2 linked regions of the Struthio camelus genome follow. The protein of the gene in region 1 binds, or shares a complex with, the protein of each later gene. Links are inferred from orthologs where the notes say so. Each region holds a gene or a part of one and is shown on either strand. Other genes may lie near its edges.

What was found.
Region 2: the proteins of BRME1 (region 1) and HSF2BP are in contact, whole or in part, in a crystal structure (PDB 7Z8Z), measured with the Mus musculus proteins. The link is inferred for Struthio camelus from reciprocal best matches to the Homo sapiens genes BRME1 and HSF2BP. Residues at the interface, in NP_083321.2 of Mus musculus: Met541, Gln542, Asp543, Ala544, Thr545, Val548, Arg549, Leu551, Val552, Leu555, Ser556, Asn559, Ile562, Met563, Thr565, His566, Leu569, Lys573; in NP_083178.1 of Mus musculus: Glu23, Phe24, Val25, Lys26, Val27, Arg28, Asp31, Leu32, Arg34, Leu35, Glu38, Val39, Gln41, Ile42, Phe45, Leu46, Arg48, Ile49, Glu53, Leu54.

Annotation. Positions count from the first base shown.
Region 1 is NC_090972.1:4,485,995-4,495,689, forward strand, and holds the start of BRME1 (break repair meiotic recombinase recruitment factor 1), read right to left. Parts: upstream 3,955-9,695; coding exon 3,924-3,954; intron 1,758-3,923; coding exon 1,559-1,757; intron 1,376-1,558; coding exon 1,300-1,375; intron 620-1,299; coding exon 515-619; intron 206-514; coding exon 1-205. Other genes in the region: CC2D1A (coiled-coil and C2 domain-containing protein 1A), read left to right, coding at 5,615-5,677, 6,299-6,434, 6,696-6,805, 7,053-7,118, 7,459-7,596, 8,617-8,944, 9,047-9,171, 9,370-9,442. UniProt on the Homo sapiens protein: Meiotic recombination factor component of recombination bridges involved in meiotic double-strand break repair.
Region 2 is NC_090942.1:125,685,194-125,695,651, forward strand, and holds the start of HSF2BP (heat shock factor 2-binding protein), read right to left. Parts: upstream 4,304-10,458; 5' UTR 4,274-4,303; coding exon 4,238-4,273; intron 3,956-4,237; exon of another isoform or gene 3,758-3,955; intron 2,641-3,757; exon of another isoform or gene 2,490-2,640; intron 1,668-2,489; coding exon 1,517-1,667; intron 1-1,516. Other genes in the region: RRP1B (ribosomal RNA processing protein 1 homolog B), read left to right, coding at 7,425-7,557, 7,870-7,884. UniProt on the Homo sapiens protein: Meiotic recombination factor component of recombination bridges involved in meiotic double-strand break repair.

The sequences.
Region 1 (9,695 bases):
GGCAAGTTTGAGGTTTATCTAGCTCCTCGCAAAGACTTCTCTGACGCTCTGGAGTTGCCACTGAGTGATCCTCTTCCATTTTGACCACAATTAAATTTGCCTGTTCAGATGCCTCTGCCTGAGACTTTGCTTTCTGGGTAACTGCCTCTGATGGCTTCTGTTCTAGACTGATATCCATATTTTGGGTATTACAGACTATTATTTCCTGAAATAATAAGGTGCATGCATCATTAATGCCTTAAAAAATAGCTATTTTTGGTTTTGTGTTTTTATAAAAAGCAGCGCTTACTCCATTCGGTATAAATACCAAACAATTTACAGGAACCACCTACTGAACTCTGAGAGCTCTAACAAAAGTCACATTCATACAGCAGGATGTGACAAAGCCAGAAGGTCTTACTGCTCTGTTCTGCAACGTAGCAACAAGAAGTAGCTTTAAATTGTATAGTTTATTAACAACAACAAAAACAAACCTGTCCATAGGAAGATGGTTAACTGGGATGCACCATTTTACCTGTTCTGTTCGACTCCTCGGAGCGACACCGTTGTTTCGCTTCCGTTTCTCCGCCAGAGCCTCCTTCGGCCTTGTGAAGACTGGCACAAACTTCCCTGCTGACTTCTACAGCCAAGGGCAATAGTGATGAGTGTGAGGAGCAGTTACTCCCCGGGGGACCGAGCAATCCAACATCCTGAGCACCATGCCCAGTCTTCCCAGCTCAGCAGCTCTCAATATCGATTAGAAAGACAGCGAGGGGATGACCTCATCCGGCTTATAATCCTATCTGGGTAGACACTGCAAACCATCCCCGAGAAGCTCACAATGTTATGTCAAGCCTGAAGCTTAGAGGTTTTCTTTCTCGATTTAATAGAGAACAAGCTGAACCCTTAAAATTCTGGGAAATGCTTTCTGCAGTTTGTACATATTTGAAATGCATTATTTTACACTGTAACAATGGATTAAATTAGGTGCATTTTAATAACACACTTCAGTTTTGCAGTGAATGCGGGGTTTCAGTTAAACCCACTTTTTTCAGGTGCAATTTGTTGTCATGTGCTCATTCCAGAACTTTGGCAACGCTGCTGCGTGCCCTAGGGTATACATTTGAGGGAGATATGCTGGCAGCGTTCAAGCAGCTAAAGTGAATTTGTCCACAGAGGAAAAACAGCTACACAAAGGCAAATCTAGCTATGCTGTGGAAGGAATTTCCTGCCAGCTGAATGCTTAGACAGTATCGAGGAGATCGCAGTGCAGCACGCTGCTACTGGCGGTCTCGGGCAGAACCTTCAAAGCAGACTTACCTGAGATAAAGAAATTGAGGTAAACTGCTTCGCCTGACTTCGCTCCGCAGCAGTCTTCTCTCCTTCATCGTTTGAACTATTAAAGAGAATACAATAGCGTGCACGTCTAGCTAGTGTCAACGTGTTATCTTGGGGTAAGTCATAATCGCCTTGATTGGGGCTGCGTCTCTGTTTTACAGGACGCGAGCTCTGTGGGTTATATCGCCCTACAAACTCACGTTCTGGTGATTTCCAAGTTACATGGCGCAAACTCTGTTACCTTGCTTGCGAGTTTGCTTCCAAACTTTCAGTGCTTCCCGGGTCCTTCTCTTCCCGTTCCTCTGCCCCTCCCGCGGTTGGCTTTGATTTGCCTTCAGAATCCATGATTTGGGTCTGTCCTGTCAGGTCTAAGCCCTCTGTCACCTCAGGATCTTCCCTAAGTCTTTTCATTTTGGAAACACTGCACTTGCTGTCTCCTCCTTTTAAGGGAAAAAGTCATTAGAAAACAGCCTTGGCAGTAAGAGTGACTAGAACAGAAAGAACAAGGTTGTAGAGCTGTGTGGTAAACTGTCAAGTAGCAGCAACAATTTTATCAAAACCTATGAAAAAAACCTGCCTGAAGCTTAAAGTACTATCCACCCCTGGCCTACAGGTTGCCCATGTAGGTTTTGCATTAATTCCTGTTACTAAATCCTATGAAAACGCTTGAACTAAGGAAGCTTTTAAAATCTGCTAGCAACACAAGGCCTATCACAAACTCTTGGTAAGTTCCGACTTCGGTGGAGGCACTGGGGCACAAGCACCTTTGTAAAATACTAACCTGACTTTTAACAATAAAAACACCCATAGCAGATGAGGAAGATTTTGCCCTGGTCAGATTTACCAGTATAAACACCCAAAGGTTGTTCTTTCTGAGGACAACAACGTCCTGAGGCTGCAGACGTCTGCCGCTCTGGACGGACTTTGGGTGTTGCTTTGGTGGAGAGGAACAGAAATTAAACGAGAAATCCTAAGAAACCCTGCGTTACCATAGCCCCCGTACAACAGGGCGGCCTCAGGTATTTTGTTTGTAGGAAGCTTCAAGTATGTTTCTAGTGTTAAAAGTTAATTACAGCGGTCAAACTCCAGTGCTCTTTTCTAGGTTAAATCAGTATTTTATTAATCAAAATCGGTGCTAAATGAGATGTAACGTTTAATCTGAATGCTGCCAGCTGAAGCACTAGCAATCCTCCACCTACCGAAGAGCGGTATAACCCAAATTGCTCACTGATGGTGCCAAACAGCATAATTTGACAAAACGCTGTGTCTGTGTGGATTAGTCAAGTACTACTCAGGGGAGGAAGCTGTGCCTAAAGCAGCGTTGTAGACAGCCTTAAATATTACCATTCACATACATAAGCATAGATTTGTGTTATCGTCCTGTGGATACGCTTTTCGCCTTGGCTCTCCGCTTCCACACAGTGGCGTAGTGCAGGATAAACAGAATCGGAGCCTTTGCCTTTAGCGTTTGCAGCCTGTTATCGAGGTGTTTACGCTGAAATCCATGCCCCCCTACCAAGGGCGTTCTGAGAGCGACGCTCAGATGCCGCCAGACCCTTTCGAAGCACCTTTTTCCTTCCCTCTCCACCAAAGCGGAAAGGCTCTGGCAGCTCTCGCCGATTCCAGACTGCGTTTCAAACGGCTCGTCCTGCTGTGCCTTGATTTTTAAAGCTGCCGCATTTACGGATTCTTCAAAGTCTGCTGAGTTAGGTGGGGAGGGGAGGAGAAGAGGCCTGTTTCCAAAGAGTCGTAGATTGTGCACCCTGCTTGAAAAGCTCGTCAAATCTAGTCCCTTTATTACCCGCCGCGCTAAGAGGCATCATGCCAGAGTCCCTCCTGAGATCCTACGGAGGAAGAACAACTGCAATCAAGAGAGACAGCAGGACGGCAGAGTGCAAATGGTGGCTCGTCTGTTCCGAAACAAGGAGAAATGGGGTATGCTACACAACGGACAAACTCCTGCAGTCTCGGGGGGAGGCCTACCACGAAGCCTCATGCAATATTTATTGGAACAGCACAACAAACAAAGCGACGGGAGTGACTGTGTGATACAGGGACAGGAGAGGTGTAGTGGCTGCTGTTCCCTGCCTTGTCACCAGCTGGGGTGGGGGGGGGGGGTCGTGTTGTTTTTTCCATCTGCAAAATGGGGCTACTAACCCATGTTTTCCTCAGCATTGTAGCAAGCCGAAGTGACATTCGGGAAGCGCTTTGCTATGTTGAGATAAAAGCCGCTTCGAAAGCGTTGTACGTGGGTGTTTTTGTAGCAAGCACCAGTAAACTATGGAAACGCAGAGAGCAGTTTGGGGGGAACTTTGGTGAAACAGGTGTGGGAAAGGTAACAGTTTAAAGGTGATGTTAGACGTCAGTTTGCTCACGCTTTGAGAAATGTTTGCAGATGCAGCATCTACATACTAATTAAGCGCCTGGGTAGTTTTAGACGTGCAATCTCTCTCTTACTACCAAGTATAACGAACGAGACTTGAAATAATTTGGTTAGGCTCCTTGACAGCTAGACCGCTTCTTTACGAGGGGGCACTGGCATCTGTCAAACACCGTCACACCGTCCACGTGTAGCAGCGAACGAGCCCCGGAGCTCGTGTCGTTACCTGATCGTTGGTCGTTCTTCCTTTTACTCATCTTACTGCCCTCCTGAGTGGGAAAAACAGATGAGAACACTCAACTACTGGCCTTACAGCATCTTGAAAATGTATTTTGCCTTCAGCGTTGACCTTTTCCTTTAACATAATTGCGCATCGCTCCGGCAAACCCCGTTTTGCAGTGCCTGAGGTGGGAAACGCCGGTGACGCTGTGCGGTCGTCCCAGTGCCTCCCCCTTTAATCGCACTCTCCCACAAGCAAGTTAACGCGCAGGAAGGATTTTAGGCCCATCCACAGCCGTGAACCACCCCCCCCCCGCCCGCCCGCCCGGTTGTACACTCTCCAAAGAGCCAAAAGCATCAAGTCAGGGCGCTGCAGACCCCAGGCTGCACCCCAGCGCTTTTAGTCGGGGCGCTAGCGCCTTGTTGACGAGGAAGGATTTGGAAGAGCGCCGGGCTCGTGGTGGCAGCCCCCCCTCCCCCCCGGGCTTCATGGCTGCCCGTGGCCTCTGGCGACAGGGCCGGGCTTCGCTTGCCAGATGCCCTTGCTCCTCACGGAGAGGGCCTCCAGGCGGCACGCCGGCGGGCTGCTAATGGACACTGCTCCCCGCAGCCTCCGGATTCGAGGGGAAAAGGGGGGGAAAAGAGGGGGCACGTTCCCTCCTCGGCCCCCTCAGGGGGACCCGCCATGGCCGCCGCCGCCCTTCACCTCAGGGCGCCGCCAACGGCTTTTCCCGCCTTTTCCCTGAGCCCCGCCCACCTCCCCGTGCGCATGCGCATCCCCCCCCTCTTCTCAGCGCGCGTGGGCTTCTGGGAGTTGTAGTCTCCCCACCGGGCCGGGGGGGCGGCCGGCCATGTTGCGCCACCGCCTCGCTTAGCGGCGCCGGGAGAGGAGCGGGGAGGGGGAGTGTCGTAAAGCGAAGGAGGAAGGTGGGGCTTGGGTTTTTTTTCTTGCGACAGCGGTGCCGCAAAGCGCGGCGTGTTGTTGACAGCCGCCCGGGCGGAGCTGGAAGTGAGTGTGAGAGGGCGGGGGGGGGGGCCGAGGCCGAGGCCGGTAAAGCCGCCGGTACCGGGGCTCCCGGCGGGGTCTGGAGCCCCGAGGAGCGGGCAGGGCCGGGGGGGAGGCGGTTGGGGGATCGTTTGTGGGGAGGGAGGGGTGGGGGGCGCAGGGTATTGGGGGGGATGTGAGGGGAGTGGGGGTCTTGTGGGGGGCTCTAGGGAGGGGGAGTCTGTGGGGAAGGGGCTGGAGGGGGTTTGGGGGGATTTTGGGGGGGATGAGGGGGTTATAGGGAGGGTGTAGAGGGGCTGGGAGGGTTGGAGGGGGGCTTGGGAGGCTTACAGAGCGGGGCTGAAGGAGTTATGGGGGGGTGAGGGGACTTATGGGGGGTCAGGAGGGCTTATAGAGAGTTTTGGGGGGGTTTATAGAAGGGTTTGGGGTGGGATAAGGGCTCTGGGTGCCAGGAGGCAGTACCCCAGGGTGTTTGCAGGGGAGGCCCTTGGCTGTAGGGGGCTGGCAGATGAGGAAAGTCACATAAGATGGGGGGGGAGTTCTGTGGGGGGCTGAGCCCGAAGGGTGGCTGGAAACAGGGGTCGAGTCCATCCGGGGTGCAGGGACAGTACCCGAGGGGCCCCCTCGCACCCTGCGACCCCCTCGCTCACAGGCCGCTTCCCTCCAGCTCTGTCTGAAGGAGGAAAAGAGGGATGAGTAAAACCAGGAGGCCGCCTCCGCCGCCGGGACGTGGCGGCACCGCCGCCGTCAGGCAGGTACGTCGGGGCTCCGGCCCGCCGCCTCCCGGCCCCCCTTCCTCCGTCTGCTCCAGGCTGAAGCAGGGTGCGCACCTGCAGTTACGCCTCCGCCTGCCCAGGAGGGAGAGGTCACTGGCGTAAAGATCCTTTAAACAACCAGAGGGAAACCTGAGGCCTCCTGACCACACCTTCCGCACAGGGAAGCTCTGGCGTGCGTTACGCAAGACTCAGATCTGAGCAGCCGCAGTTTCTGGGGGGACTTTGTTTAAACTGGGCAGTTCTTCCATTAAGCAGGTGCCGGCCGCGGCTTCCTTGTACGCACAGCGTTCGTAGTGACGCTGGTCGTTCCAGGCACGGGTCTCCGTCGTGGATCCGTTGGGAGAACCGAGCCGCCTGTATCCTCGTTGCCTGTCTTCTGGGATTTGTTTTTGCTTTTCTAAGCTGGATCAGCAGCTTTGTCAGTGTGCAGCCTCGCTGGTCGTTGAGCCAGTGTTAATGCAGGGCGCAACGGGCTGGTCCCCAACCGTGGGACGCGTCGTCCTCCCTCAAGCCCGATCCCAGAGGATCGGCATCAGCTAGTCGGCGTCGCTGCTGCCTCTGCCAGGATCGTTCGGGGCAGCTGCTTTTTCTCCCCCACAGGTGCCTTTGCTGATGGACTTCTCTCCGGAGGGGATGATGGCAAACGATGCCGGGGACGATGCGGCCGACCTGGAGGCAGAGCTGCTGGCTATTGTGGGAGGCCAGCCTGATCCGAAAGAAAAACCCAAGGGGAAAAGTAAGTGGCCCAACCTCGTGGGAAGGATATATCTGCCTGGGGGGACCCGTCTGCTGGGAATTTCTCTAGCTGGTTGATGATGTGCCATGTGGAAAATGACTCACGGTGGTTTGTCTCCTGCCTGATGAGTTTGCGTGACCCTCTCCGGGCCGGACTTGCTGCCCTGCCTGGTTTTCCTTGGCTTTCCGGACGCGAGCCTAAGCCATGGTAGGAAACGGTTGTGAGACACAAACACCAGACGCGCTGCTTCTCCCTCTCCAGCACCTTTGCCGATGGAAGCGATCGAGAGAATGGCTGCTCTCTGCATGAAGGACCTGGACGAAGAGGAGGGAGGGGATGAGGAAGATCTGGAAGACGAAGATGATCTCATGGTATTCAGGGCTCTGCAGGCAACGGGAGGTCTGGTGGTTTATTCCTTGCCAATTGGTGTCCTGCACAGGACAGGAGGGGTTTTGGGAGAGCGTCCCTGTGCCCTGGCTCTTCCTTGGCCCTTATCCCCCTTCCCTGTATTAGCTTTTCCTTGCTCCATATGCTTTGGGATCAATGGGATGCGTTTTCTCCAGAAGAGATTTTTGGCCCCGGTTTATCATTAACGGAATTCCTGCTGTTGGCTTGTAGGCAGAGCTCCAGGAAGTACTCGGCGAAGGGGAAGAGAGAGCAGATGCCCCCATAACTACTGCAAAGGTAGGAAACTCGTTCTTCTGCTTTGCTTCCTCTTCTACCCCTGCTGCTCCTGGTGTGGGAGCACTTCTACGTCCACAGTGTCATCTGTTGGATCTCCCCGACAAGTAAATGTGACTCCGTTGCACAAAAGTTTGATGGAAGATAGGGAGGACGGAGTTCACAAACTGCGGCCGTGCTAGACCTGTTTTGACCCAAGCTTGTGAAAAACAAAGGGCCGAACAGCTGTGTCTGCGCTGACCCCTGGATCGGGGCGGGTATCGGCCGCGAGGAAGCCCGGATCCTGTGTCGTTGTCATCTAGTTGGGGGTGCTCAGCACGCCTTCTCCTTTGGGCTCCCGCAGGTGGGTGAAACGCCTCCCGAGTCCGGCAGCATCGAGTCTACGCTGGCAGAGAGGGTGGACATGTACCAAACGGCCATCGCCAATGCCAAGCAGGCTGGAGACAGCTCCAAAGTGCGCCGCTACGAGAGAGGCCTCAAGGTGAGCCTGAAACAGCGTGCTGGAGCAGCACGCTGCTGGCCAGCGGCTTGGTAACAGCTGCTCCCTTGGGGGGCTAAAGAGAAGTCTTTTTTGCTTAATCTGTAGTTACGTGAAACCCGTTTGATCTTAAATTCGCCGCTGAGCGTGGCCGGTGTTCCCATGCTCCAGGATTTTGCGCTTACGTCTGTGTTAAGGCCTGTTTTCCCCACAGTGGTGAGCGCTTCTAGCTCCCACTGCTTCAAGAAGAAGCAGAAATTATTCAGACTTCTTGGAAAATCAGGTCGTTCTAATTCCAGCGCCTAATTGTGGGCAATAACATAACCTGAGGAACAAGTGGATGCTGCAATGTGTGCTATAACTATCTCTGAGACTGTGTTATGCACAGAGGTCTCTGGCACAGCCCTAATCATCTTATTCTGCTGCAGGCTTGGCTTTTGGCTAACACACAGCCTCATGGTCCTGATGGCTTGCGGATGCTTAAAGCCTGTGAGAAGTCTGAGGACTTTTGTTTTTTAATTTTGAGCACCAGCCTGTTCTTTTTAGTTTGTTTTTTTTTTCCTCTGGCTGATTTCTACCTTGTTTAAGTCTTTTCTGCCACGTTAAAGTTTTTTTTTCATGCACCTATCTGTGTTGTCAAGGGCAGACCTTCCTCTTTCCCTTGGGTTTTGTCCGCTAGCAGAACACCATAGCGCGTGGAGCGTGTTAGCCTGCCTGTCGCGCAGGCTGGGGGAGCGTGGCACTGCTCTTCCAAAGCAGGTATGCAGCTCAAGGTGCTCTCTGTTCTCTGGAAACGTGAGAAAGTGAGGAAGTTGCAGAGTCGGGGAATGGCTTCCTAATCAGTGAGCCCCTTTGCCCTGTTTCAGGCCATGTTTGGCTGTTGTTTTTAAGCAGATACTGTTTTTTTCCCACCTTAGGGGGTTTTGCTGCAGTCCCGGCAAATTCCGAAGTTTCTCTTTTCATAGCCGAGACAGAGAAGGATCAGAAGCTGATGATTTTCTTTGTGTGCGTGTTCTTTTTCAGACACTAGAGAACATGCTGACCTCTGTGAGGAAGGGAAAAAAGATCGACGAGGAGGAAATCCCACCACCGGTGGCTCTGGGGAAGAGTGTGAGCTCCCAGCAGCCCTCTCCTTCTGCAGCGGTGTCACCCCTCCATGGCTCCGTGCCCGCCTCAAGCCCTGGCTCACCCCCGCCTCCTGTGCAGCCGCCTGTTGTCTCTCCTCCCAAACCCCTGCCCACGTTGCAGCCGCCTCCTGTGCTCCCAAAGCCTCAGGTCTTGCCCAGCCCCGCTTTGCCCACCAGCTCTGCAGAGAAAAAAGCACTTTCTCCCTCACTGTCTCCACATCCAGGTGAGGCCTTGGCTTGTTCTGCTTCGTGGTGGGTCGCTATATCCTGCTGCTGAGGAGGGAAACCCTCCCGAAGCCCAGCGACTCTCCTCTCTGCCTCCCCAGGTTCCGGCCGGGCCAGCACTGAGGCTCTGCTGCAAGGCCGGCAGCGGGAGTACAAGCTCGCAGCCCTGCACGCGAAACAGCAGGGAAACGTGGAGATGGCCACGAAGTACTTCCGCGTCGCTAAGGTGTGTGGCGCCTCTCTGGGTGGCCAGAGAGGCCTGAATTTCTCCTGCCTATGAAATATTAAGCAAACTGCCGCCTTTCTTGGTGTCTGTAGTAAAACAAGGGTAAATCTGGCTGGCAGGGGCTGTCTGCAAAGCATGTCATGAAATGTCTATTTGAAAAAAAGTGAGAACTGTGATCTTTCTCTGGTGCTTTTTCAGAGCTTTGACTCCCTGTTAGAAGCTTTGGGGAAGGGCCAGCCGGTGGATCCGAGCAGCGTGCCCCCTCCTCCCGGTAAGGAGGGAAAGGTCGCTGAAGAGCAACGCCTTGTCCAGCTGGGGCCTGCCCTGCCTGGAAGGACTGACGCTTTGGCTGGAGACCCCTCTGGAAGGGGGGCTTCCAGGTCCGGCTCCCTGCTTGCCTCTCGCCTTTTGGCGTGCCTGGGGAAGGGCAGCCGTTTCCAAGTTTGGAAGGTGCCAGCAAACCGCAGGGGCGTTGCTGCATGATACCGCCTGCACCGGGCTCCTTCCAAAAAGCCGCTCACGCT
Region 2 (10,458 bases), on another chromosome or scaffold:
TCATGAGAGGGATGATGTCCTGACTGGCAGCAGGATTGACAGGTGAGACGGTCTCTTCAGCTCTATTAGCATTTGATGGCACAGAAAAGTCCTTCCAAAGAAGGTATCATCAAGGCAGCAGGAAACTCTACCCCAATATACTACTCGTTATTGCAGATGGGCCTTGAGGGTGTATCTTATTTTTTCTTTGGAGGAGAAAAGGATGCAAGTTCCTCACAGTGAGGTTACGCTGGTGACTGCAACAGGTTCTGATGCCTAGAACATAGTACTAAAGAGGAGTGACACCCCTGGAGACTGCAGTGAGGATTCCTAGGTACTCCACTGTATCTCTCACTACAGAAGTTTGGTCAAGAACTAGCTCACAGCAGCAGAGACAAAGGTTCCTAAGAAAAGCAGCTCCACATCTGTCTTTATCAAGGTAGTCCATCTTCACAGAGCCCCGCCTCTCTTTCAGTACTTTGTAGCCAGAACACTTATTCTGAGCTAGCCCTTTAGTCTGAGCATCTACCATCTGGGTCATACGCTCCAGGGAGGCTGAGAGAAGATACATGAAGGTCTCATTCCAGCAGGCTACATAGGTCAGAAATACAGTGGGCAGCCAAAAGGTGCAGACTTGGTAGGCAGGTCTTCCTGGGGTTGGTGCCTGTGTATTCATTAAGGCAGTCCCACACAGCAGAAGTCAAGGACTGACTGAGCTCCAAGGTAGAGAGGCTGTTCTCTTACTAACCATTACAACTAATCTTCAGTTAATCACTCAGATTATAGAAAAGCGTACGTCTTCTAGAATATCATCTAAATGTTTGTTCCTTGCCTTTTCAGACAAAACAAACTTCTAGAAGAACAGGTGAATTTTACTCCCGCATGTAAGCTGCAGGCTGGGGATGGGGGCTGACTGAGGTTCAGCTCTCAAGTCATGCTGGAAGTGGTGCAACTGTTGGAAAGATGGTACAGAAGAGATCACAAGCCTGAAAAAAATGGACTTTGGGGATCAGAGTAAAAAGATATCAGAGAGGCCAAAGTCCGTTACTAGTCTCCAACGCAATTTTTAATGAAGATTTATGGCAATAACACTATATAAAAGATAAGGTAACTACAAAGGCATCATCTCCTCCCATAAACTTAACTTCTCATTTATCCACAACTCTTTACCATATATTTTGCTGTTCATCTAAAGTCACATTTTGAAAAATAGAATGGTTTCCCCCTTTCTCAAAGAAGAATCACTTTCTTTCTGATACAGCTTCCCTTATTGCTTGAAGTAAATATTCGTTCTTATCCCCAATAAAACAGTTCTGAAGATTAATTTGACAAAAGTCTAGTTATTTCTAATGTACTTTCCAATTTTGTTAATTACAAACACACCATTTTACAAATACAGGTGTATTTAATGCCTTTAATATCATAGTTCAATCTGCAATACCTCAATAAACTCTACAGCTATTTATATGGGTAGGACTTCTCTTTCTAAGTAGTTTTCATAGTTATCTGTAATAGCTCGTAACATGATTCAGCTCACTTGATTCAACAGCATCCAGTTTCTGGAACGTCCCCAAGATATCCCAATTCAATATTTTGGGTAAGAAATCCCGCAGTTGCATAACCTCCGTTGTCAGCCTTTCCAAATCCCTCCTTTTAACTTTAACGTAGTCGTCTTCTGTGTCAGCCTTCTGAAATGCAAAAAAAGAAGAAAAAAAAAGACACCATTACGGCTTTGAGTGCTCTTTGCTTTGCATCCCTTCTCTCAGAAAAAAAAATATTCCTCTATCATTTCAGAAATTCAGAAACTTACTTAAAAAAGAACTATCCAGTAATAATCTGGACTAAGAGTCTCTGAGATAAAAAGTCTTCAATTTTAACCTGCTTTTTGCCACTGGGGCCTAGAGCAAATCATATTACCTCTCTGCAACAGTTTCTTCATCTAAAATGTGTGTAGCACACCTCAGAACACTGTAAAAATTAATTTGATGTTCACATTTGAAAAACGTAAACAGCTACACATACTCTAAGCCAGGTTTGAGACTATTCTAAGGATATATGTAACTGTTTTCAACTAACTCAAATATTTGCAGATGCTCAGCCATCCTGCTAAATTATAATAGTTCTTTCAGAGAAAATAGTTTTTGTTCCTCACAGAAAATGAATTACTTTGAGAAAAATATCATTTGTGATCCAATCACAAATAAAAGTAATATAATCATGAGTTAAGACAGGAAAGATATGATAACTAATTTTCTCTTGTGCCACACTATTGCCCTAACTTTAAATCTACCGTCCGAGAAAATGAGCATTAATTTTCAAGCAATATAGACGTTTCGGTACCAAAAAACCATCAACTCGCATTTCTGATGTACGTACATGTGCACACTGCTGTATCTTGAAAAGGCTACCGTATATCCACAATTACATACTGAAAGGTTTAATTTATTTTGCCCAAAATATTACATATCCAATATGCTTTCATAAAGCAAAACTACAATATATCACATTACTATTTCTTTTTTTGAGAGCGGTGCAGAAACATTGAGATCCCTTCTGTAAACGATCACATCTTCTCTTTTCAGAGGGAAGAGGATACTGCGGAACTATACAAGAAACAGTCTCCTAAAGACACTAAATGCGCCCTCTCCACATCTCATCCAGCTGCATGAGACAAATTAAGGTCATTAACATTAGTACCTTTTCCAGTTCAACAGAAAATGCCACCCTGGTGTTCCTATCCTTTGTGACCATTTTCTACAATTCTCTTTTGTCTTTTTGCTTCTCTGCTTCCTCACATTGAACATTTCCTTCCATCTTTGCTTGCTAGTCTATTTCTTTCCCAACCCTCTGCCAAATCCAGACATTTCTAGGGATGTAACACACCAGTCCTAGTCTTCCCGGTTCAGAAGACATAGAACAGCAATAAAGACATGGAATAAAGATTTTTATTTTAACCTGGATTGTATACTCTAAGCTGCATTTACAAAGTGCTTACAGTAAGGTTAGGATGGCCAAGTACCACCACACTATAGGATGCAGGAAAAATACAACTCATTCAGGTCTCAGGGACATACTGAATGAGGGCATAAGCACATGGCCACAAGACTCTAGAGGGACAGTACGACTTCTGTGTAAACAGAGGGTCAGACGGGAAGGTCAAAGAGACTATTCAGTATTGTTGAAAATTACAGAGCAACATTTGGTATAGGCATGAAAAATAGCTCTATTCACTAGCATAAGCTAAATCCAAATGAAGTATGCTACCAGAGTATTGGAATTGAGATATGAAATGTATACCATGGAGAAAATCCTAATCTATAGTTCTCAGTGTAAACACAGATCATCTTCGTAATACTGCAGTTCTGGCAGACAAGTTTTATTTTCTCCACTTACGCAGCTACTCAACATCTCCCATACATTACAACAATCAGTTAAAAACAAACATATACCAGTGCCTGATAGCTGACCAGATGTAGGAAATCTGACTTCAGTCCTCACAGATTTCTTGGCCAACGATCAAGTTCGGCCAATTTAGTTTTGTGCCTTGGTTCACAGCCTTTAAGATTTGAACTCCGCTTCCCTGCCCGGCAGGGTGGCTGAACACAGTCACGGAAACCACACCTGTGTTCAACACCCCAGCACATAACCTCCGTCAGCCTATTCTCGAATCTTCATTAGCCCCCAAAGGATGCTGAAGGGGTCACTTCAATTCCACTTACACAATTAGTACAACACGTCTTTCCCCCCCCTCCCTTAAAAGGGAGAGAGGGACCCTCACCCTCTTCCACAGATGTTTTACAAGTCAACGCGAAGTCTGCGCTAGGAGGCATGCTGAAGCGCAGAGGCGTTTTGCGTCACGGGAAGGGCAGGCTGACACGCAGGACCCCCCACCAAACAGTTCACACCGGCCATGAGACTCTAAGCAACGGTGCGAGACGTCCCAGCGGCCGAGCTCCCACGTGTTTTATATCCAACACTGAAAACCGCCACTGCCTGGTATTAGCCCTGCCCTGCCCCGCCGGGCACCCAGCGAGGCCCCCCCCCCTCCGCCGGGCCACCCGTCCCCCCACGGCGCTCGGCTGCGCAGCGCCGTCCCCGCCATCGCCCCTCAGACGCGGCAGCCGGCCCCAACGGCCGCGCACCTTCCCCCCCCCCCCCCGCCCTCCTTCCCGGGGCAGCCGACGCCTCAGCGCCGGCCCGACCCCGCCGCCGGGACTGCCCGGGCTCCGGGGCTGCGGGCACGGGCGGCCCCGGCTACCTGCGCCTCGCCCGCCAGCCCCGCGCGGCGCCTCATCGCGCCAACCGCCGCCTCGCAGGCGGGCGGGCGGGCGGGGGCTGTGACGTCGCGCTGCGCCAGGCCCCCCGCGCGCCGCCCTTCCGGGCGCGGCGGTTGGAGCGGCCGGGGGGGGGGGGGGGGGACACGGCGGCGGGGGGAGAGGGGCTCGGCGGCGGCGAGCAGGCAGGGCTCGCCGAGCTGGTCCCCCGCCGCCTGGCACTGCGGGCGGTTCAGGGGTTCTGCCTGAAGTCCTCACTACGTGAAACGGCGCTGTCCTTCGCGTTTAAACTGCCCGTTACATATAGTCACCTGCGCCATGGGACCCAGCAGCCCTAATCTGCCCTCACGGCCTGTGCTCGTGGTGTCAGCTGTTCTTTACAAACTTCGTACTTACCTTTGTGCCGCAATAGGAAGTTTAGTCTTGCCAGCCCCTTCTTGGAGGCTTTTTCTGTTGTACCCACTTTATTTTTTTTCGTTGAGTATCTTCTGCTATATAATTTTTGAGATAGCGGTTGAGTACACAATACTTCTGACCACACCGCTTTATATATAAACATTACAAAATTCCCCACAGTTTTCTCTATTCCTTTCTTTACATGTCTGAACACCTTTGTTTGTTGCAATGCTCCTGAGGAGTGAGCAGCAAGAGCTGTTACACTGTTCACAGTGATGTCCGTGTCTTTTTCCTCAGCAGATACAGCTAATTTGCCTTTTGATAGGATGCTGAGTTTGTACGATTTCCTTCCATATTGTAACACGGGATGTTCACTGCTGTCTCCTTGCCTGTTGGTCCAGCTTTTAAACACCGCTCTGCAGCACGCTCTGGTGCTGGCTAACCTCGACGCTGACGTGTCTGCCGCTTTCTCACACCACTCATAAATATAGGAAATGGCGTGAACACCGATGTTCCCTGCCCTTGGCCCTTTCCGTGGTGATGAAAACCGGGCGTATCGTACCACGCCGCCAGGGAGCAGCGCAGACCGGGCGCTCCCGAAGCAACAGGGAGGCAGCTGCGCTAAGATGGCCGCCAGGGCCCAGCCTGGCCCGTCCCCCTGCCCCGGGGAGCACGGCCCCCGGGCGCAGCCCTAGCCCCGGCTGGGGGGCGTCAGGCACCGCTGCGGGGCCAAGCCGGAGCCGTAGGGACGGCGACAGGAGCAGGGTCGGGGGTCCCGTGGGCAGGGGCAGGGCCGTGGCGGGGCCAGCGTCGCAGGGCAGTGACTGACGGCCCCAGGCTGGGCTGAGATGGGGGCCCAGGGAACCACGAGGGCTGCCGGGGCCCCCCAGGGCCAAGGCACACGCTTTGCTTGCTTTCTTCTGCCTAGTTTTTGGTCTACGACAAACTTCTGCCTTTCTGTGATTTCTTAGCTTCTTTTAATGGTTGCTTGTGCTGGCGTTATGTCAAGGCTTTTTGAAAACCTCTCAGCCTGTTCTGTTTCGTCCATCACATTACTGATAAATTTTAGAACTGTAAGAGATTGGCGTGATTTTTTTTTTTTTTTTTGCAGAAACCATGCTTAAAAATCATCTAGAAATGTTCTTACTCTTATTTTCAATTACTATTTCAACCAATTAATAAGCCAGTCTGCAGGTTTATAATTCCCCAGTTGCCCATAAGACACGTTTTCAAATATTGGTACAAGCCTGGCAGAACAAAGAGCACCATTAAGCGCCTTAGAAGTTGTACAGATGCTGTCACTTTATACTCTAGTCAAGTTTAAAAAAACATACAAGTTTTCTTAAATACCACTTCTGTTTTGGGGCATTTTGTGTCCATGAATTTCTGTCATTAAAAAGATATTTTGCTTTCCTGTGGCTTTTGAAAAATACCACACAAGCAGTAGATAAAGGCAAATCTGCCGTCTCCTTCTGAAGCACTTGGGCTTTCTGTGGACATAGGAATCGGAGGATGTGGAACAGCTTCAAGAACTGGGGGCCTATCCAACCACATGCCGTGTTGTGAAGCGTACAGAGTGAGAAAACCTTAGAAAGCATCCACTCTAATTTTTACTGACCCTAGAAATTTAAGTTATAGTAAATGAAAGCACACTGGAACACGACGTTTTTATAAACAATTCTGTGTTAAAGTGGTGATAGTATTTCATAAGATCTATGAGATCAACATTTCCTCTTACTACAAGCACCAGAGCTTCCAGCTTCACGTTGGCTGCAGTCTAGCACGAAGGCCCAGATTAACAAAACTCACTATAGAACTAGGTTCAGGTAAGTAAAAACACCTTGCTACTGCCTTACCTGCTCAGGGACACAGTTAAGCAGTCATTTGTGAAACTGATCTTTCGTTGTCGATCATCCTCAAGATCTTTGATCTTTCATGCTCCCAAGCATTTTAATTCTTCAGAAAGGTTTCAATACTTTATTTTTTAATATAGTTCAGTACAAATGTGTATCTGGTAGGATAGTTAAAGAGTCTGGGAAAAGACATGTGGCATCTCCATTTCTTTGAGAGTGCTGATGTTTGTGATACACTAGTTACAAACTTTTTCTAGACTTTACTCTTGAATGACATCATGTTGAATACAGAAATAGGAGAGGATTCAGTTTTTTTAGAAAGACCGTTTCCTTTGCATGAAGTCAATTTTTCACTCCTTCAATGTTTTGAATTTTAAAGATATTGTAACATTATGAGACAAGGCGGTCGACTGCGTTAAGTCACTGCACTAAGAGTTCGGAGTTCTAGGTTTTGCCAAACTTCCTCTTGGGGAAACGCAGGCAGAAAAGCTCTACCAGCGCAGGTCCGGCCTACTTTTCCTGCCGTTGCAGCATCCCCGTTTGTAACAGAGAAAAAGGTGAACCCCGTATGCGCGTGCTGGATGCCCGGCCGTCGTTCACCGTGAGCGTGCTCTGCACGTTTAAACACTGAATTCTGGGGGTGCTTATTCCTGGGGGACTTCAGATTTGTCACCAGAAATAAAAAGCCACGAAACTCAACCGCCGCGCTGGGTCTATGGGTTGCACCGCTCCCCGCAGAGCCCAGGCGGGCAGCGCGGCGCCCGGACCCAGGTGCCACCTCCCTCCCTCCCTCCCTCCCGCCACGGCGCGCGCGACGCGCAAAGCGTGCGCCGGGGGCGCTGGTGACGCCATCGGGCGGCGCCCGGCAGGAGGGGAGGAGAGGGGAGGGAGGCGGCCGCCGCCTCCGTGGGGCGCGGAGACCATGGCTCCCGCCGCGCTGCAGGCGCCCGAGATCCAGTTCGCGCAGCGGTTGGCCGCCAACGAGAAGCGCGTCCGCGACCGCGCCGTGAAGAAGCTGCGGGGCTACATCAGCGTCCGGACCCAGCGCCCGGCCGGTAGGGCCCAGGCGGCGGGCAGGGCCCGGTCCGGTCCGGTCCGGTCCGGTCCGGTCCGGTCCGGGGGCGGCGGGGTGCAGCGCTGGGGCCGGGGTCCAGGCCCAGGCGGCGGCGGCGCTGCTCAGGGCCGGCGGTGCCGCAGGGAAAGCGGCGCCTGTTTGAAACGTGCCGGCATGGCGGGGGAAGCACGTGTGGAGGGAGGGCCGGGCGCTGCCTCCTGCCTTCCGGGGTCTGGTCTGTCACCACAGTGCCGCTAGTTTGTTTTATTGTTATTATTATTATTTTAATTTTTACCCGTGTGTTTTATCACAGCAGGCGTTTTCGGTGGTGAGTCCGCAAGCGCCGAGCTCGTTACCGCCGGCCCCGAGCGGGGCAGGAGCTTTCTGGGCCTCGCTCATGCGGTTTCCCCGCGGTGGCTACGGGCGAGCCGGGCTCCGTGCCCCGTCAGAGGGACGGCGGCCCCAGGCAGGACCTGTTTGGCGGGGGGGAGTGTTGGTGGCGGCAGGGACATCGGCAGGTGCGAAGCGATGCAGCTCAAGGCCGCTCGTTCACGGGAACAGGATGTAAATGCAGTGAGCGGAGCTGGACTGAAACAATCCCAGTGCATGGAGTGTATAGTTTTTATTCAGTGCTACGTTGACTGGTGAGACACTGACTGCTTGGTTTTGTAGCTGAGATTCAGGAGCATTGAAGTGAATTGAGGAAAGCTCAGAAAGGTTTTAGTGGTTGCATAATTGCAAGAAATTCATAGTTACCTGTTCAGATTATCCAGGTCGCTTGTTATCTCTGTATCCATGGTATCAATAGTTTTATTACAACAGAGTTTATTCGCTTTCACAGAGCTCTGTACTGCTGCCTTAGAACTCGGACAGCTTGGGTCCAGCTACACTTACTGGCCTTGGCCTTGCTAGTCTGAAGCACTCTGTGCCTTAGGATGCCTGCTATAGGAGGCTCAGGAGGTCAGTCATAGCACTGTGTGAATGCATGGATCCAGCTCAGTAAACTCTCCTTCTGCAATGATAAGGGAGCACAGCGTGGAGATGTCTAAAAGACTGAGCTTTCTGGTTTGCATTCTTCAGGGCACTATGTCGCAAGCTGGATGCGATACAGGAGTTGAACTGGTTAGGTGCATTGCAGAGCACTGTGTCTGACGTAGTAAACCTTCCCACAGTATTTGGGAACATGGTACTGAGATGTATGTGTACGTGTTCCATTCGATTTGGAAAGCCAGCCTGGCACCCCGAGAGCTAAACTGAAACTAGAAGGCTGGTTGAACTCAAGTTAATTCCTTGCAAAGCTGCTGGGGGCTATAGGTTGTTTTCTCCCTTTTCCCTCTTCCCTTTCCAAATAACATTTGACATAGTGGCTGATCTTGGCCTCATCTGACAGAGGCGAGAATACATAAGAACAGCCTTACTGGGTCAGACTAGAGGGCCAGGTAGCCCGTTATCCCATTTCTGGCAGTAGCAATAAATCTGGGGGATGTGTAGGGAATAGTAAGAACAAGCAAAATGTACATTATATTCCTCCCAAGCGTTTTCTGACCCTCCAGCTATTTTTGGCTCTGGAAACTTCCTAAGCTGGATGTGGTTTCTGTGTATTCGGTAGTGCTCTGTGCCTCTCATTGCAAAGTGCAGATTCCTGTAAGTTTGTGAAAGTTACCTGCCAGGTGGTGAGGAGAGTCCCTTTATAGGGTATCCTAATTGAGGGAAAAGGTTGCAGTGTAAGCTAATGCCCTAACACATTGGGAAACCACCACAGGGAAATTGTCTGTTACAAGGTGAACATTTTGCATGTTAAAGTCAACCCACCATGAAATGCAAATGAGTAGGAAACCAGGGTGATTAATTTGCAGTGCTTCTAAATTTACTTGCTTTAACGTACAATTCAAACTAATAATATTAGAACAGTAGCTAACTTCTTTGGACTTGGGAAAGAAGCCTTATGTTCAGGATAGAGGCTTTTTTAAAGTAATATTTGAATTAGCAGATTTATTTCTATGCATCCCTCTGCCAGAGGGGAGGCTCCCAAATCAACATGAACAATCAAAAACATGTTAACTTTTGAAGGAGCAGGTGGAGTTATCAGTGACATTCGCCTCAGTGAAATGTTGCATAGCCCTTGGTAGGCATTCTTCCTGTCTGTCCCGTATGGTCTGTGCTAAGTTTGCATCATGGGTCATGTTGTGGAAACTTCTTTGAAGAGCTAAAGCCTTCTTGATTTTTAAACACAAAGTTATATTCTGTAGAAAGCATAAAGCTACTGAAGCTCTGAAACCATTGTGTGTGCAGGTGAACCTGGATGAGTACATTATTACTTAATCTGTTCCTTTTTTTTCTTGTTAACTCATTCTTCTTAAAATCTTTACCTTGAAAGAGAAAGTGTACTGGGCTGATAAGTGGAGGGTCATATTTTCTTGTATCTTTATAGAGACATCAGTAAATGAACTGGTGAGAGAGTAGTAACTTAAAGGCTTTAATACAATAGGAAGGATTATTAGATATTTTCCTGTCTGATAAGAATAGGGTTACTTGGCCCTAGATCTGTAAAGGATTTAAGTATGTCATTTCCACTGAAATGAACCTTTGTAGCTCTGACTCTTGTATCTAGAGTAGGAAAAACTGCAGCAGTTTTAACTATAGCAGTGTCAAAATAGCATATTTCCCAAACAAGAAGGATAAGAAGGCTTGCAAAAGCAAAGCGTGTCTTCAGGGGATGGTTGTCTCTATCTATAGTGGGTGAGGGCTTGCATCAGCAATGTTGCGGAGTTACAATCCACACCTTAAAACCAGTATCTTTCTCAAGGTAGCTTTGAACTAAAGAGAGCCTTCGGTTTTGCACAGTGTGGTTGCTAATATAGTAGGTTCAGGTTATAAATTAGCCTCACTTGAATGATGATCA